2 linked regions of the Saccharomyces cerevisiae S288C genome follow. The protein of the gene in region 1 purifies or fractionates together with the protein of each later gene. This does not show direct contact. Each region holds a gene or a part of one and is shown in the gene's direction. Other genes may lie near its edges.

Region 1 (6,800 bases):
TTCTACTCATCAGTGTCTTTGAAAAATCGATTGGTTCATTTCCCGTGGCCCAAACCAGCATCCCGTATTCGATATCCGTGTTTGTTTGGCCGTTTTGCAGAGTGCGTATATAGGTTGGCTCTACGACTTTCACGGCAGTATTCACTTGCAAGTCAATTTCATCTCTGGCAAAAAGGTCCTCGGCATACTTGATCAACGTCTTATCGAACATGTTTAGGATATTAGGCAGGGCTTCAATTAAGATAACCTTCATTTCTTTACTTAAGTCGGGCATCCACTTCCTCAAATCTTGATTGATGTAATCTTGCAGTTCGGCGGCAAATTCAACCCCCGTAGGGCCCCCTCCAACAACCACGAACGTTAATAATCGCTTCCTTTCCGGATCGTTCACAGGAAATGAACTTGCCTGTTCTATGGTTTTCATTAACTTCATACGAATATTTTGAGCATCTTCAATCTCTTTCAAGAAGTTAGCATTGCCATAGACCCCGGGAATGTTAAAAGTAGTGGTTTTAGCGCCTACACTAACAACAAGATAATCGTAACTTAAGCTCGAAACGAAATATTCGTCCTCTGACACCGATTGCACCATTACTTTTTTGGCCTTTGGATCAACGTCCAACGCTTCCGCCTCAATGTAGTGAACTTCTCCAGGCGTTCTTCTAGCGATCGATCTAACCGGTTCGACAATAGACTTCATCTCTATCGTACCCACAGGCGTTGAGGGTAATAACGGTGTGAACAAAAAGAAGCTTCTTGGCGACACCACGGTCACGTTATACAAAGACGTGTCTAATTTCTTCAAAAGAGATATGGCGCCCCAGCCTGTACCCAAAATAACCAGCTCCTTCTTTTTCAAACCATTAGCAAAAGCGGTCGATTGGGGAACCTGTTTGGGTGGGTTCGATTCTTTGTACAGCTCGTATGACACATACAATGTGCCGGCCAACGTCGTGTAAAAGGTTAACTTTAAACCTCTGACAAACCATTTCTTGAATACCGCAGTGTAAGATTTCGATAGCTTCTGCTGTGGTCCGGGCTTACCAACTTCAGTGGAATGGAAAAAAGGTTTAGAGATCTGGGTCATCTTGAAACGGTGTATGGACCTAGCAGTCCTCGCAAAACCAAGTCTGGGCAGCATCTATACGAATGGCAAGTACGGTGGTTGTTTTTGTCTTTCTACTATGTTCCTGGTACAATCCCCGCAAGATGGGTTTACCTACTGGCACTGATATACCTCTTATATACGCAGGTCAACAGCGCACTCCAAAGGGAGGGGCTGACTTATTAGGGGAGGCCTGTAGGCTGTAGAGAAACCCTTTAAAAAATGAAAAAAAAAAATGGGGAAACAAGTGTCAGAGATGATCTGCTACTGTGACGCATCGATATTAGTATATCTATCGGCACTAAGGAACGCATGACAGGTGTACGCAATACCGCACTCTGGGGAATGACTAAAATAGAGACATTTTCGGCGTTTATGCGTATTATAAACGGTACGAGCGGTTGAATTTACCCGGCCATCCGGGCTCTATTATTTCACTCAAGATCACTTCTTTTGTCTTGCCATGGCAACGTTTCCATATTTTATACAGTATTGCTGAAGCATTTCTAGCAATACCAACAAGATCAATACTACACAGAGCAACAAATTACGTCGCAAGACGATACATCTTTAACAATGGCTAGAGGTAATCAAAGAGACTTGGCAAGACAAAAAAACTTGAAAAAACAAAAGGACATGGCTAAGAACCAGAAAAAGAGTGGTGATCCTAAGAAAAGAATGGAGTCAGACGCCGAAATCTTGAGACAAAAGCAGGCCGCCGCAGATGCTAGAAGAGAGGCTGAAAAGCTTGAGAAGTTAAAAGCCGAAAAGACGAGAAGATAAGCAGACACTTTATACCTGTCCTTTTATTGGAATGAATAGTGCCAGTAGTTTCTTACGTATAAAGTACTTTATAAACAGCTGTTATGTTTTTTGTCCTTTTTAGTTACCTTTTTTTTATTTTTTTTTTATTTTTTTTTTTTCTTTAGTTAATTAGAACGCTTTCCTATATTGTGCTTCTTTTTCTTTTTCTTATTGTTATTTAGTATATAGCGTGTACAGAGTGAAGATCTTAACAAACGTGCTCCAAAGGTGTATTGTCATCGACAAATTCACCCAAATCGATTCTCAATTTTCTGTTGAACTGCTCGAACAAGAAGCCGAGACAACTTTGAGTGATAGCGGAGTCGAACCTGCCCTTGCTGAACTCGTCACGGATGAACGCATGCTGGGCAGCCAGGATTTCCAAGAACGTAAACTTTACTCCGTGGTCTCTGAGGGTCTTTCTGATTAGATCGCGGCCTTGCGGGTCGACATGGGTGTCCGCAGTTCCGAAGATCAAAACCATTTCTTGGTTATTACCCAACTCCTTCGAAACACGTTCCAAAGAGTTATCGTTCTGGCCAAGACCTAAGGTTCTGGAATGGATGTCGGTAGGGAAGAAGCAGGTTGCGCAGGTAACCCTTTTGTCCAGGAGCGCTCTAAAAGCCAAATGGCCACCTAAACACATTCCTGTGGAACCAATTCTCTTACCATCGAATTGGGGTAACTGGAAAAGTAGATCGCAACACAGTTTGTTGTCCTCATCGTATGATTCTAACGGCTTCTTGATCTTGTACTCGTTACCAATATCGGTACCCTGCACGTCATAGGGCAACGCTTCAGGGCCCATAAAGTTGTGGTATATGGCAGGTGCCACCACAACGTAACCTTCAGACGCAATTCTTTGACCAAAACGACGAACCGGACCCGTCACTTGGTAAATTTCACTGTACAGAATCACCCCAGGAAACTTAGCTTGTGGATAGCCTGCAATCTTAGGAGAATATACGTATATACGCAGAGTGGTGCCGTATGATGTCTGCACATCATGAAAGGTCTCAGTAATCAACATTGTTTGCTTTATCTACTACCACGAGTTTATTACGGCGTCATTTTCAGTCTGACCCTTCTTTTATATAGTTTCTCCTAGTGAGGTTTTTCCGATAAAATTTCTTCCTGATCTTCACAAAGCATCCAGCAAAGTAGGAAAAAAGCTGAAAACCCGACGAAGGGTACTTGTTGAAAGCCATTGAGGTATTGATGGTTGGTGGTAGTATGCTATCTGAAGATAGGCCACATGATTTAGGTAAAGGAGCTGGCCATCGCTAACTGACTAGTCGTATTCTTCCACATCATGGCAACTTCCTTAATGTATTACCCGAATAACCGCCGAAGCCTCAGGCATTAGAGAAGAAAGAAAAGAACAAAAAGTTATACTACAAAAGGCTCTACACTCCCAGCAGAAAGCTGCCAACTACCGTCAGAATGTCAACTATGTCAACGCCTGCCGCAGAACAACGCAAACTCGTCGAACAGCTGATGGGCAGGGACTTCAGTTTCCGCCACAACAGGTATTCGCATCAAAAAAGAGACCTCGGACTACACGATCCCAAGATCTGCAAGTCATACCTTGTTGGCGAGTGCCCCTACGACCTGTTTCAGGGCACCAAGCAGAGCCTGGGAAAATGCCCGCAGATGCATCTTACCAAGCATAAAATTCAGTACGAGAGAGAGGTCAAGCAGGGCAAAACGTTTCCCGAATTCGAAAGAGAATATCTGGCCATTCTATCTCGGTTTGTTAATGAGTGTAATGGCCAGATATCCGTAGCACTACAAAATCTAAAACACACCGCTGAGGAACGAATGAAGATTCAGCAGGTTACCGAAGAACTAGATGTCTTGGACGTGCGGATAGGCCTAATGGGACAAGAGATTGATTCTTTAATTCGTGCAGATGAAGTCAGTATGGGTATGCTACAGTCAGTCAAATTACAAGAACTGATTAGTAAAAGGAAAGAAGTTGCAAAACGTGTACGAAACATTACAGAAAACGTGGGCCAGAGCGCCCAGCAAAAGTTACAGGTTTGCGAGGTGTGTGGGGCATACCTATCGCGTTTAGATACAGACAGAAGGCTTGCTGACCACTTCTTGGGGAAGATTCATCTGGGATATGTCAAGATGAGAGAGGATTATGATCGGCTAATGAAGAATAACCGGACAACTAACGCCAGCAAGACAGCTACTACACTACCCGGAAGACGCTTTGTGTAGGGCCATACATAAAAAAATGATGCTAGAAAAATTTTGTTCGAAGGAGAGTACTTATGAAAGAAGAAAGGTTTGTGAATATCACACACATACCTCTGCATAGTTTATTTCCCGATAAGGTAGACATATCGTTTCCCTATCTATTTAAGTTTTTTATTCGCTCTCTTTTTTTTTTTTTCTCTGTAACCTGAAAACAAGGAACGGCAAATTAAAATGTTTGGAATACGTTCAGGCAATAATAACGGTGGATTTACTAACCTCACGTCGCAAGCACCACAGACAACCCAGATGTTTCAATCGCAATCACAGTTGCAGCCACAACCGCAACCGCAACCACAACAACAGCAGCAACACTTGCAATTCAATGGATCATCCGATGCAAGTTCTTTACGATTTGGAAACTCACTTTCCAATACTGTAAACGCCAATAACTATAGTAGTAATATCGGTAACAATAGCATCAACAACAACAACATTAAAAACGGCACAAATAACATAAGCCAACATGGCCAAGGGAATAATCCTAGCTGGGTGAATAATCCTAAAAAGAGATTCACTCCTCATACGGTGATAAGAAGGAAGACAACAAAGCAAAATTCTTCTTCTGACATCAACCAGAATGATGATTCATCTTCTATGAACGCTACTATGAGAAATTTCAGTAAGCAAAATCAAGATTCCAAGCATAATGAAAGAAATAAGTCTGCGGCAAATAATGACATCAATTCTCTGTTGTCAAATTTTAACGATATTCCACCCTCCGTTACTTTACAGGATTGGCAACGCGAGGATGAATTCGGTTCTATTCCATCATTAACAACTCAGTTTGTTACCGACAAATACACGGCGAAGAAAACAAATAGGTCAGCTTATGATTCCAAAAATACTCCAAATGTTTTTGATAAAGACTCTTATGTTAGAATAGCAAACATTGAACAGAACCATTTAGATAATAATTACAACACCGCCGAAACAAACAATAAAGTCCATGAAACATCTTCCAAGTCTTCTAGTTTGAGCGCAATTATCGTATTTGGCTATCCTGAATCAATTTCCAATGAATTGATTGAACACTTCTCCCATTTCGGTCATATTATGGAAGACTTTCAAGTATTGCGATTGGGTCGCGGGATTAACCCCAACACCTTCAGAATATTCCATAATCATGATACAGGCTGTGATGAAAACGATTCTACTGTTAATAAATCTATTACTTTAAAAGGCAGAAATAATGAGTCGAATAACAAAAAATATCCAATATTTACTGGTGAAAGTTGGGTCAAACTCACTTATAATTCTCCATCTTCTGCTTTGAGAGCACTGCAGGAAAATGGAACCATATTTCGCGGTTCTTTGATTGGTTGCATCCCATATTCAAAAAATGCGGTGGAGCAATTAGCTGGCTGCAAAATTGATAATGTCGACGACATTGGAGAATTCAACGTTTCTATGTATCAAAATTCCTCCACATCGTCGACATCTAATACACCATCCCCACCAAACGTAATAATAACTGATGGCACTCTTCTGAGGGAAGACGATAATACTCCTGCCGGTCATGCTGGTAATCCAACAAATATTTCAAGTCCAATAGTAGCAAATTCTCCGAATAAGCGGCTGGATGTAATAGATGGCAAATTGCCATTCATGCAAAATGCAGGACCGAATTCGAATATTCCTAATCTGTTGCGAAACCTAGAATCGAAAATGCGTCAGCAAGAAGCGAAATACAGAAATAATGAACCTGCTGGTTTTACGCACAAACTGAGTAATTGGTTATTTGGTTGGAATGACCTATAACAGAAATCGTCCAGCTAATTATTCATGAACATTTACAATACTTCATACATTTATTATTTTGATAACTTTTCAAACAGCATTGTTTTACTTTTGTTTATTGATTTTTACGTAACTGTATATACTTAGACATAATTAAGAAACGTTATCTTTTGTGATAGTTCTTCTTTTTCTTTGGAGAGCGAAGAATGGAATTAATATCATTCTTATTCAATACATTGAACTCTGAGCCTTCAAACCTTTTCTGTCGTGCGCTTAAAGGCGTTTTTCTCAATGGGCTCAGGGATTTCGATGGTCTATTTTGGTCTTGATTCGGCAGGTAAGCTCCGCCCTTCTCTAAATTTTCATTTGACGATGATTGAGCCAAATTGTTATCCAAAACTTTATCCCTATAATATGGGGACATTCTAGGAGAATAATGAAAACCAATGGGATGACTTTGATGGTCAGATACTTGAGAAATGCCTCCATAATCCTTTATTCTGGTTTCACGGGATCCTGGCACACTTTCTGTCATTTTCGGTAATGCCTCAAATTCCCTTTTTTCATAATTATAAACCTCTCTGATTTCTTCGCCACATAGGGAGTGAGTGGTGAATATTCTCGGTGTTTTAGATCTAGTACCCATTGCAGATGATAGAGTATCTATATTGCTGCATTGGTTAATTCGTGCCATTATATGCTTGTCCTCATATTCTTGCAAAGCTGCACTTGATAAAATCAAGTCGTCGTCCACGCTTCTTTGAAATCTCTTAGTTATGATATAATCCAGAATATATTGATGGAATACTATAGCAATTGCTGAAGTAAACGAAACATCAGAAAAGCTTAAAAAAACAATTGCCGTTGGTGAAAAAGACACAAAAAG
Region 2 (4,605 bases), on another chromosome or scaffold:
TACAAAAAGTGGTGAGTCCTTAAAGGTTTTTGAGGATTTGCATGATTTTGAAACATATTTAAAGGGTGAGACGGAAGATCAAGAGTTCGACCATGTCCATTGCCAACTGAAGTACTATCCACCCTTTGTCCTGCATGATGCGCATGATGATCCGGAAAAGATCAAAGAGACTGCCAATTCGCACTCTAAGAAGTTTGTTCGCCATTTACACCAGCATGTTGAGAAGCACCTGCTAAAGGACATCAAAACCGCTATCAACAAGCCAGAATTGAAATTCCACGATAAGAAAAAGCAGGAATCCTTTGACCGGATTGTTTGGAATTATGGCGAAGAAACGGAGTTGAACGCCAAGAAATTCAAGGTGTCTGTCGAAGTTGTATGTAAACACGATGGCGCAATGGTAGATGTTGATTACAAGACAGAACCCTTGCAGCCACTCATCTAAGTTTGGGGAGCTGTTTTTATGAATTAACGAAATTTTATGAATTTACGAAATATAGCATGCTATATAAAATAATTTATATGCGCATGTATTTTGGTGTGCACCTTCTTACTGGAGTGTATACAAGTCTACAAATCAACACATGTGGTTTTTTTAATGTTTTGTCGTCACAACGCGACCTTAAATAAAAGAATTCCACGCTAGATTCATGCTACTATCACGAACAATACGTACCAATTAAGCTTTCTTGGTGTAATAAAAAAAGAGAAATGTACACACCACCATGATTCCGTTTACGTCTTGCTTTTCTACTTGTTTCGCTCATGGGTTCTCATCAGCTCTATTGTGTGTGCCCTCTTTGTAGATAATTAAACACATTGAAAAAAAAGAAAACGAAAAGATGGCACACGGCTTGGTCATCGAGTGAAGAAATGAAACTTCAAAAAAATTGCCGGACACTTAAACCTTAACGAGTTATACAGAACCGTATCCAGACCTGGAGCTGGGCTATAAGAAGAAGCGACAATATGGTATACTAAATTTCTGGACTCGTAGTCACTCAGTCTGTTTGTCAGTAAGTCACGTAGACCTGTATCGGCAGTAACTATGGTATTTTTTCCAGATTAATTATTATACGATGTTGTTACTTCGATAAGGTCACAACAGGTTTTCCATTGTTGAGAAACTGACTTTGATTATTATTTAGTTAGTAGGCAACTGTCATGTTGCAACCACAACAAGCAACAATCCTTTCACCATGACTATTATAAGCGGCCGGCAAAATTGCCGGGAAAACTGCCAGGGATATAATGCAACCTTCATTTGAGCACTTAAAATAGAAGATAACGTTGGTAAACCCCCCTTGATAGTGGACACATCCTACGTAGATCTCTCTACAGCCAAGTCGTATATATAGCAGCAAATTGCAACCAACCACATGGGACATAGGAATGAGTGGTTTTCTCAGACCCTGAACGTGACCGTCCATCATGAATTTCTCCACAGTTTTTCAAGCAATAATCGCGGTTTTAGGTTTAACTACAGTCACAGCTTTAGCAGAATTTGATTTCGACGTAGGCTATGAAGAGTTTGTCCGTACCAATCCTGATACGATTTTCTTAGAGAGTGATATTGGCCTGCACGTTGGATATACCGAGGGTGGCGAACGACAGATAGCAACGATACCACACAATTCCACGCTAGGGACTTCACTACGTGAGTATAGTGGCTGTGGTGGTAATGGTACAGAAACCTCCATCGCTACCCCCGCACCTACAATGAGTGAGGTACCTATCGCTACCTTCGTGAAACGTAGAAAAAGTGTACCTATCTTGCTACCGCAGGTATGTATGTGAAGAGTTGGTGAATTTTGAGATAATTGTTGGGATTCCATTTTTAATAAGGCAATAATATTAGGTATGTAGAATGTACTAGAAGTTCTCCTCGAGGATTTAGGAATCCATAAAAGGGAATCTGCAATTCTACACAATTCTATAAATATTATTATCATCATTTTATATGTTAATATTCATTGATCCTATTACATTATCAATCCTTGCGTTTCAGCTTCCACTAATTTAGATGACTATTTCTCATCATTTGCGTCATCTTCTAACACCGTATATGATAATATACTAGTAACGTAAATACTAGTTAGTAGATGATAGTTGATTTTTATTCCAACAGTATGGGAGGTATATGAACCCCTACAACCACTCATTTAGAAGTGGGGGACTGTAGTTCTTTTATGAAGTAACGAAATTTTATGAAGTAACAACAAATGTTGTTAATTGTAATCTTAATAATCTAACATTTAATAAATCTTGACCTTAGACTTTTTTGTCTATTCATAATATGCTGATATTACTTTTCTTAAATATAAATATAATCTATATAATATTATTAACGAAATGTAGGAAGCTAAAAAAAAAAAAAAAAAAAAGAAAGAGACTTTTATGCGTATATTTAGGTACCCCGGTACTTACTTCTGTATATATAAATCAGTGAATCAATACATATTTTTTTTTAATGTTTTGTCCTTATAACGCGACTTATTCAAAAGAAAAAAAGAAGTCCCATGCAAAAATCTTGTCATTATTGCGAATGGATATATCAGTGAGACCTTTTTAAGGTTGTAGGGAAAAGGAAGTACGCTTCATTACAATTTCGTTCATGTCTTGCTCGCCTACTTGTTTTGCTCATAAATCCCATCAGCACCATTGTATGCGCCCTTCGTAGGAAATTAACGCATCTGAAGAAAAAAAGAACTGCAAGATAATGACACACAGCACGGTCATCGACTGTCGAAAGGAAACCTTAAAAAAGTAATCGGCACCTCAACCTTGATGAATTATAATCTATCCAAGTATCCAGACGACGTGTCGAGACTTTTCAAGCCAAGGCCACCTTTATCTTACAAAAGACCAACCGATTACCCATATGCGAAGAGACAAACAAATCCAAATATCACTGGCGTTGCAAACTTACTATCAACCTCTTTGAAGCACTATATGGAGGAGTTTCCTGAAGGATCTCCAAACAACCATCTCCAAAGATACGAAGACATCAAACTTTCCAAGATCAAAAATGCTCAATTGTTAGACCGGAGACTACAAAATTGGAATCCTAACGTTGACCCTCATATCAAGGACACAGATCCCTACAGAACGATATTTATTGGGAGGCTACCATACGATCTTGACGAAATTGAACTGCAAAAGTATTTTGTTAAGTTTGGCGAGATCGAAAAAATTAGGATAGTCAAGGACAAGATAACCCAGAAGAGTAAAGGCTACGCCTTCATAGTTTTCAAAGACCCAATAAGTAGTAAAATGGCATTCAAGGAGATTGGAGTACACAGAGGTATCCAAATCAAAGACAGAATCTGCATAGTCGACATAGAAAGAGGCAGAACCGTTAAATATTTCAAGCCAAGAAGATTGGGCGGCGGCCTAGGAGGCAGAGGCTATTCCAACAGAGACAGCAGGCTTCCAGGAAGGTTTGCAAGCGCAAGTACATCAAATCCCGCCGAAAGAAATTATGCTCCCAGGCTGCCACGCAGGGAAACTTCTTCCTCCGCATATAGCGCTGATAGATACGGCAGTTCCACATTGGACGCGAGGTACCGTGGAAACAGGCCATTGCTCTCCGCCGCCACTCCTACTGCTGCTGTTACTTCTGTATATAAATCTAGAAACTCACGGACTCGAGAGTCTCAACCAGCTCCCAAAGAAGCGCCCGACTATTGAATATAAGTAATACTTAAACTCTGCTACTTGTTGTCTATGATTACCCGCACATCAGTTAATTTGGATACTTTTTTCCCTTTCTCAGACTTTGCCCCTATAACAAAATAAGAGAAAAACAGCCCGCATTTAACACAAGATACTATAGCAAAGGAGACCAGAGAAGACTCAACACAACACACGCGAACGATCAAGCAATGGAAGCCGATTGGAGGAGAATTGACATCGATGCATTTGATCCAGAGAGTGGCAGACTAACCGCTGCCGATCTGGTACCACCATACGAAACTACTGTCACATTACAAGAATTACAACCTCGAATGAATCAATTGCGCTCGCTTGCCACAAGTGGTGACTCTTTGGGAGCCGTTCAATTACTCACAACCGATCCTCCATACAGTGCAGATGCTCCAACAAAGGAGCAATATTTTAAGAGCGTCCTTGAAGCATTGACACAAGTCAGGCAAGCCGATATTGGTAATGTAATCAAAAATTTGAGTGATTCTCAGAGGGACGTGCTGGTAAAGTATCTCTACAAAGGAATGTCCGTACCTCAGGGCCAGAAACAAGGGGGTGTCTTGCTTGCGTGGCTGGAAAGAATTACTCAAGTCAGTGGTGTCACACCTATCGTTCATTATATATCGGATAGAAGAACTGTATGATACTCTGCCCAGTAAAACTTAGTATAAAGAAATATACATATATATACGTAATTTTAAGGGTCGCGTTTGTTATATGCTTTTACTTCAGGCATTTCGCGGTGATGTAGGTATTGAGTTTTTTTTTAAAAAAATTGACATTGTTTGGCGAGGTTGAAGATATAAATGCCTGGATTTTAAAAAGCTCAGTTGCTACTCAAACCAAAATGTCAACAAATCAATTTGCACAAAACAAGTACGCATAAACTTTGAGAGCATG

What was found. Proteins that work in one complex are often made in the same cells at the same time.
Region 2: the proteins of LUC7 (region 1) and SNP1 purify together in Saccharomyces cerevisiae (affinity purification with mass spectrometry; 5 studies listed by BioGRID). This does not show direct contact.

The regions. Positions count from the first base shown.
Region 1 is NC_001136.10:297,552-304,351, reverse strand, and holds LUC7 (Luc7p), read left to right. Parts: upstream 1-3,352; coding exon 3,353-4,138; downstream 4,139-6,800. Other genes in the region: NADH-ubiquinone reductase (H(+)-translocating) NDE2, read right to left, coding at 1-1,141; YDL085C-A (uncharacterized protein), read left to right, coding at 1,682-1,888; YDL086W (carboxymethylenebutenolidase), read right to left, coding at 2,118-2,939; FG-nucleoporin ASM4, read left to right, coding at 4,349-5,935; NUR1 (Nur1p), read right to left, coding at 6,078-6,800. UniProt on the Saccharomyces cerevisiae protein: Component of the U1 snRNP particle, which recognizes and binds the 5'-splice site of pre-mRNA. Together with other non-snRNP factors, U1 snRNP forms the spliceosomal commitment complex, that targets pre-mRNA to the splicing pathway.
Region 2 is NC_001141.2:243,742-248,346, reverse strand, and holds SNP1 (U1 snRNP complex subunit SNP1), read left to right. Parts: upstream 1-2,787; coding exon 2,788-3,690; downstream 3,691-4,605. Other genes in the region: RGI2 (Rgi2p), read left to right, coding at 1-445; YIL059C (uncharacterized protein), read left to right, coding at 1,432-1,797; YIL060W (uncharacterized protein), read right to left, coding at 1,521-1,955; ARC15 (Arc15p), read left to right, coding at 3,885-4,349; YRB2 (Yrb2p), read left to right, coding at 4,603-4,605. UniProt on the Saccharomyces cerevisiae protein: Involved in nuclear mRNA splicing.